Linked DNA regions of Lytechinus pictus. The protein of the gene in region 1 interacts with the protein of each later gene in a biochemical or structural test. Links are inferred from orthologs where the notes say so. Each region holds a gene or a part of one and is shown in the gene's direction. Other genes may lie near its edges.

The links.
Region 2: the proteins of NEDD8-conjugating enzyme Ubc12-like (region 1) and DCN1-like protein 3 form a complex in vitro, tested with the Homo sapiens proteins (4 studies listed by BioGRID and IntAct). The link is inferred for Lytechinus pictus from reciprocal best matches to the Homo sapiens genes UBE2M and DCUN1D3.

The regions. Positions count from the first base shown.
Region 1 is NC_087253.1:11,992,665-11,996,423, forward strand, and holds the start of NEDD8-conjugating enzyme Ubc12-like, read left to right. Parts: upstream 1-975; 5' UTR 976-1,179; coding exon 1,180-1,282; intron 1,283-3,085; coding exon 3,086-3,180; intron 3,181-3,759.
Region 2 is NC_087254.1:25,577,636-25,581,394, reverse strand, and holds the start of DCN1-like protein 3, read left to right. Parts: upstream 1-1,380; 5' UTR 1,381-1,503; coding exon 1,504-2,448; 3' UTR 2,449-3,759. UniProt on the Homo sapiens protein: Contributes to the neddylation of all cullins by transferring NEDD8 from N-terminally acetylated NEDD8-conjugating E2s enzyme to different cullin C-terminal domain-RBX complexes and may play a role in the cell cycle progression by regulating the SCF ubiquitin E3 ligase complex, after UV damage.

The DNA.
Region 1 (3,759 bases):
ATACAGTTTTGTACAACAGCAGTATCACACAGGTACGACAGAGTACCATTAAGGTATTGCATGAAATTTTCATATTTTCCTGTACCACAGAAGTATGACAGAACTATCACAGAGTGATACCACAGAAGTCCTGTTGTAATTCTATATACAGTTTTGTACAACAGAAGTATCACACAGGTACGACAGAGTACCATTAAGGTATTGCAGGAAATTTTCATATTTTCCTGTACCACAGAAGTATGACAGAACTATCACAGAGTGATACCACAGAAGTCCTGTGGTAATTCTGAGGTACCGTCGTGTATGACAGAAGTATCACACAGGTACAACAGAGTACCACTAAAGTACTGCAGGAATTTTTTGTAAGGGAGGGGCAGCGACAATTAATAAGATTATGAGTTTTATGCCCGGTCCCCCATGCACCACCCCCCCCCCCCCCAACTTCGGCTCAGCCACCATCCTCAATCTCAAAATCGGAGAGGCCTATTAAAAAATTCGGCTTGGTTTTTTTTTGTATGGTAATTTCTAACTGGGGGGCAACAATTAAGTATCCTAACAAAATTGACAAAAACGGATCTGGCTCATTACCCCACTAAACAGAAGTCAGTCGCAGTGATATACGTTTCATTAAAGGACTTGTCTGATGTTTTATCCGACAAGTCCTGTTCTCAGCCAATCAAAATCAAGGAATTTGTCAGATCTGACAATTATCATGATTATATTGTCAGACAAAAATTAATGTTAAACGCTGCATGCATTGGCCATGCATGCAGCTCGGACGTCGGATTAATCTTCTTCTTCTTCTGGAAACAGTGCAGTCCACCGTCTGGTGTATTGTCGTACTAATCGAGAGCTATAGGACTGCCACAGTCAGCTATAAAAGGTAAAAAGAGAATAACCCAAATATTCGGCAACCCCGCCCTGAGGTCATCTAAGGTCATCCCGATGCGGGTTGTATTTGCGCGCACTGTGCTTATAGTGAACTTTGACCTTTGTAAACGCACACACATTTTCTTCCGTGCAGCTTGCACAATACATGATACACAATAGGCGGAACTAAGGTGATGACTGCGAAATCGGACAATGTTTTTTCACGAATAGCAGATTGGAGCAGATAGAGACCTTGAATTTTTAAAAGAAGGAGTTGATGCCAACGAGAAAGTGTTACTGGAATGCACGATGATTAAATTGTTTTCCTTGAAAAAGCAGGCCGAAGCTGCCGCAGATCGGTCGGACGGAGACGGGAAGAGAGCGTCCGCTGCACAGCTGCGACTGCAGAAAGGTGATGTCGAATTGAATGAATGAAATGAAATGAGTGCGTGATCAGCTGAATTGAATGTCCATCGCTTTGCTGTTCTGTCTTCGCTTGAATGTTTTTATGACATACTGAACCGTCAAAAAGAAATACCTTCTGAAATTGAAATAAAGTAAATCTAAATTGATGATTATGAATATGATATAACATTGGAATGCCATGTCAATCAATGATTCAGAATTTCACAAACCTGTTCATTATTATTGATTAGGGGTCTACTCTAGTATAAAGTATAATAAATTGTCAAATTTCTCAAAATAATGAGGAAATATTTAACTAAAATTAAAAGTAAAAAGAATAAAAATCCAGCCCAAGGCCAGGTGAGAGTTTCTTAAAGCTGTTTGTAAAATGTAAGTTAAGAGCAACTTTAAGTTTAAGAATAGACAGCAGGCAGCCGTCTGTTTCGAGGAGTTTTTTAACATTTTTTTATTTTTTAAATTTCTCCTCATACACAGACGGCTCGCTATCGTGCAGCCACCATCAGGGGACTTACAATGCAAAATCCCCCCGTCGGGGCTCTTCAATTTTTGTCTTTAATGAATCAATTTTTTGAAAATTAACGCTACCGAAATGCAAATTAATATTCCCTCTTGGCATTAATTGCCAAAAAAGGGGGAAAATCAAGTTAAAAGGAACAAAAACAGTGACTTACCTCGGCTGTCGCGCAACTTCACTGCCCTGTTTTATCCGAACTTTATACACATAAACATATGGTCATTGAGTCCCCTGTACAGATCGCGCTAGAACTTCGGTCTCTGTATTTGGTGAGTGAAGCCAACGGAGTTCAGCTGAACAACCAACATAACAGAGACCGAAGCTTTTGGTCTACTTTAAGAACAATTGAATTGGTGAACCTTTCTTACCTGCAAAATTATTAATCACAGTTAGAGGGTGAGATCGGTTTGTATTGTCGAATTGTATTTATCTATGAACCTTCAGGCGCCTAATGCATATAAAGTGATAAAAATTATTTCACTATAAATGGTAAAAATGAGACGTTTCTTACCAGACCCGATCTCCCGTAGATCCCTCGATCCATTTGTCGACAAAGCAAAGACAATAGACCTGACCCTTGAATCGCTTCGTGATGACGTACTTCCGACTAGCGATGCCGTTTTGAAGAACAATGTATAGATAAAAATTATTATTTCACAAATACTAAAATTTATTACGTGATTATAAATAATAACAATACTGCTAATTAAAAATAAATCATGTGTTAAATTGTAGTATTTGTGAAATGATAATTTTTATCTATAAATTGTTCTTCAAAATGGCTTCGCTAATCGGAAGTACGTCATACATAAGCGGTTCAAGGGTCGACGCTATTGTATTTGCATTGTGTACATGTGGATCGAGGGATCTACACGACATCAGTCTGGTAAGAAACCTTCATTTTTTTTACATTTTTAGGGACCATTTTTTAAAACCTTCCTTCGCATTAGGCGTAGGAAGGTGTAGAAATGAATAAAATCAACATATTTTACGTGATTCTTTTATGAAAAGATGGATTTCCTAGGGAAATCCATCTTTGTTTACCTGGGTCTCATATACATATATGGGCGGGGGTTCAAGACTCCAATGATGAAGAAGTATATGTCAAAGGATTTTAAAAAGACATCATCATGGAGTCCTCAAGACTAGATTAAACTACCTTTTTAAATTCGGGCCACTATTTTCATTAAGCTTGAACATAATCTTGTTTTAAAAACAGAATGTGAAGTTGGTGTAATATTTCTTATTTGTTTTTTTTTTCTCTGTCATGCTCAGATCTTGGGGAGCTGAATCTACCAAAGACATGTCAGATAGATTTCCCTGATCCTGATGATTTACTTGTTTTCAAACTAGCCATACAGCCAGATGAAGTAAGTGTTTATATTCAATTCTTATATCGGAAACCTTCCTCACATTTGAAAAAATCAAAACTGGTCACATCTGCATTGATCTTCACTTGTTAATTTGTTACATTCAGGTGGAATTACCCATAGGCCTGTATTCTGAACCTGGACAAAATGCCCATATTGCCCCCCCCAAAAAAAAAAAAATTGTTATAGTCTCGCACAATATTTTTAGTATGCAAGTCCAACATTCCATGCAACTTCTTTTTCTAGCTAAAATATATGATCGTTTCTTTGACTGCATAGAAACAAGTTTATCAACTATAAATATCAGACATATTTTTTTATGTTAAGGCCACCGCACACCTTGCGATTGGTCTGCGACTCAATTTTGGAATAAAACGTAGTAGAATTTGATGCTTATATTGAGACTTGGAATATCTTACTGCGTAATGTTTGAAATCATCGTACGAATCCCTATGTTCAAATCTGTGACTATGCTAACATCCTTCTTAGAATAAAAGCAAATTTTATATCTAGTCGTAGTGACGTCATAGCAGTCGTACGATTGGCTACGATTTGAAACTAATTTGGCATTTACTCTAA
Region 2 (3,759 bases), on another chromosome or scaffold:
TGAACTTTTGTCTGTTTTCAGGTCATCTTGTTATTGGAATTGAATACAGGTAGATTTAAAGAATGAAATGCACATTTTGATATTTATAAAGGTACATAACATTGCAATAATTTGCAATAAATTGCAACAGATTTCCTCTACACTCGCTCCTGACCTGCGTTGGAGCTTTTGCTTTTGTTTTGTTTGATTTTGATTAGAAATTGTAAGAGAAAAAGGAAAGAAAGAAAGAAAAAAAAATGATGGGGTGAATGAGTGAGAGATGAAGATATTTGGGAGGGGGTTGAAAGAAAAGAGAGAAAGTACATGCTTCTATGTACAATGTAGGGGGTATAGAACCTAAAGAAACAAATTTGCATAATAATAGGCAATATTTATTTTGGAAAAAAAGCTTTGTATCCTGATCAGCTATGGAGCAGCTGTATTTCTAGATTGAAGTTTATATTTAAGTAATCAAATGTCCACTAGTTAGATAGTATTGTGTAATTTATTGAGCTATATTTTATTATGTCTGGGCAGTGGCAATCTGTCAGAAAAAAAGACATGCTAGCCAGACTTAACTTTATGTACAATTTGAACCAGTGAACTATTGAATTACTGACCATTTTCATCTATACCTTCCGTTTAATGAGTGTAAATTGAAAAAAAATGTGGCACACATATTGTTTGTCACAAAGTGTTCTCTGTATTTGTACAGGTTTTTTAGCAGCTGTACTCTATCATAACACAACCGTAACTTGACCCCTTTTTATATCAAAGACAGACTCTCCATGCTGGTGATATGGTTCAAGTTCACTTCTGAACCAAAATAAAATGGGTAGTCTTTGTGATACATGTACATGTACATTGTAGGCTACATGTAGATTGTCTGTTATGATTTGTTCTTTATATTAATAATGATCTGGATATTATTAACATTTCTCAATCACTTTTTGACAGTTTTGTAACTCCACAATTTACAGTTTATCACTACTGAAATAATGGATCTTGGTCTGTCTTGCACACACAGAGAATATACAGGGTGTATTCACATTCTCTACTACCTGGGAGTACAGTATTCCAGCAATGCACCTGCTCATGCATAACAATATTCAATGGACGACTCATTAGGATGAATGAAACTGATTTAGAAAGTATTTGTGTGTTGGTGATATACATGCACATTTAGTTGGTTGGACGAGAGGTAGAGGGATGGTCATTTTGCTTGCCCATCGTGAGTGGCTCAAGAAGACTGGCTGAATTACTCCCCAGGGAATGAAGAATGTGCATACATTGTCAATTAGATTTTGTTTCTGGATGCTATACAATGTACAGTACACATTATTTGTATCATACTTGTATATTAATTTTCACTTTGTTGTACCTTTTTATTTTCCCAGATCTGTCCTGATGTTATTAATTTGAGGGACCTCTCCTCTATATGACCTTGTTTTGGTCCACACAACCCCAGTGCTCACCTATGGTCCCCAGGCTATCTTGCCCGGCGCCATCCACCAAGCCACCCTCATGGGCAAGTGTTTCTCCGTCTGCAACCCAGGTTCAACCAACGTGGAAGAGCAGAATGGCAAGAACAAAGCACAACTCCCTCCCAAGCCCCCTCATCATGCCACAGCTATAGAGCACCCTACTGCCCAACCAGTTCAGTACGTCCAACATATCAGCACAACCGGAGGCCGTGCAGGCAACCTCCCTCTCCGTCCTGCTGGGGACTCGAATAATGGTAGTCACAGCAGACCTGCGCATGACACGCACAAGCAGTTCCCCCGACAAAACGGTGTAGAGACAAACGCAGCCATGAAGTCAGACTTCTCTGAGCGAAAGGCAAACAAACTCTTTGAAAAATATAAAGATAATTCTGAGGATGCCATTTTGGCGGAAGGCACCGAAAGATTTTGTCAGGACCTTAAGGTCAGTCCAGAGGATTTTATAGTACTAGTCATTGCATGGAAGTTTCAGGCGGCAGTCATGTGCCGCTTCACGCGGACTGAATTCATCCAAGGTTGTCGCACCCTACGTGCTGACTCCATCAATGCTATCAAAGCCAAGTTTCCAGAACTGCGACACGAGGTCAAGACGAATGAAGCCATGTTCAAGGATCTTTATCGGTACACATTCGGCTTTGGCTTGGACACTGAAGGGGGCCAGAGAACTTTACCTTGTGAGATTGCAATACCTCTATGGAAGCTTGTCTTCTTCTACCGACAACCCCCTATCCTAGATCGCTGGTGCAATTTCCTGACTGCTAACCATGTTAAAGGTATATCAAGAGACACATGGCAGATGTTTCTGCACTTTGTAGAGGTCATTAAAGATAATCTCAGTAACTATGACGACAACGAAGCCTGGCCTAGCCTTTTTGATGACTTTGTGGAATATGAAAATGATAGATTGAAAACCGAAAATCAAGGTGGAAAGGAGGATGACGACCAAGAGGAAACTCATCTAGTGTAAAAAGAATATTAGGGATACCCATATTTTTAATTCATTTTCACTTGTTTTATTTGTGTCTTCTCCTTTTTCCTAATGCAAGGTGCTCCATTTGCTTCTTCATGGCCCTTTCAATTGCTGACATTAGTTTCAAAATAAGCAGTTACTTTTGTTTGACTGATATTCCAGTGACCAAGAATCTTACTCTCTTATTTTATTAGTATGATATTTTTGTGAACAAAGAAAAAAACTTGGGAGACTTCCATAATAACATGCACGGAAGAGTATAAAATGTAGATGTGCGTATTATGCAGCATCTTGTTGTAACGTATTTTTCTTAAAGCAGGAAATGTAATGACATGCAGGGATTATTCTTTACAAACCTTGGTCAAAACATGATCATATTTAAACGCATTTTTATCTTTGATACAGAAGATTAAGTTATCAGAATCCAAAGAATGCATTTGTACTTCTTGGTACTTGGATATATTTATTAATGGGTTTCCACATTATGTAGCCCTTAATTATTTGTAGAATGCATGTTTCAATGCTAAAATCCACATAAATATTCAGACTCAAAAACCTTCTATAACTTTGGAATGTTTTAAAATGTGTTTCATAAAATTACACCTACATGTACATGTATAAACTGCTCTTATGATTATCTGGAAGTTTAAGTGCCAAATTAGAGCCTAAACTTTGGCTGAAGTCTCATTAATTTTTTCATGTACTTCAAATGAAATTCCTGTGAATTTATTGCAAAATATACCGGTAGTCACAGAAACACGGCAAAATATAGTCATACACATGTACTGTAGACTTGGCATAAAAATATGTTTTCATAGGGAGAATGGTACTTATTCAAGAACTTTAATATAATGCAACTAAAAATGGTTGGTTGAAGAACAATCGCTTTCCATATCCCATCTGTTAATAAAGGCATTTGTAACTTTCTTTAATAAAAACAGCGTTATGATACACCCTTCCCCTTGAAGTATTGTAATGCACTTCAGAATTGTCAAACTTCATATTAATTTCTGGAAGATGTGATCACCCGACTCAAAGCCTACAATAAGTTTTTAAAAATAATTTTCATAAGTATCCCAATTAGAAGAGCACATTTTATGATTTAATTTGACAAAATTGATCGACCAAAGCCCATATAAATATTATGGATTTTAGATTTCTCATTCTTGACGCACAATCTTCTAATTGGGGGGAAAATATATATATATTTTTTTTGCATGAATAAGGAGGAGAACTCAGCATCTACATGTATGGAGGAAAGATTATGTGTCATATGAGGTTTCAGGGAGAGATTAAAAGAAGAAGAAA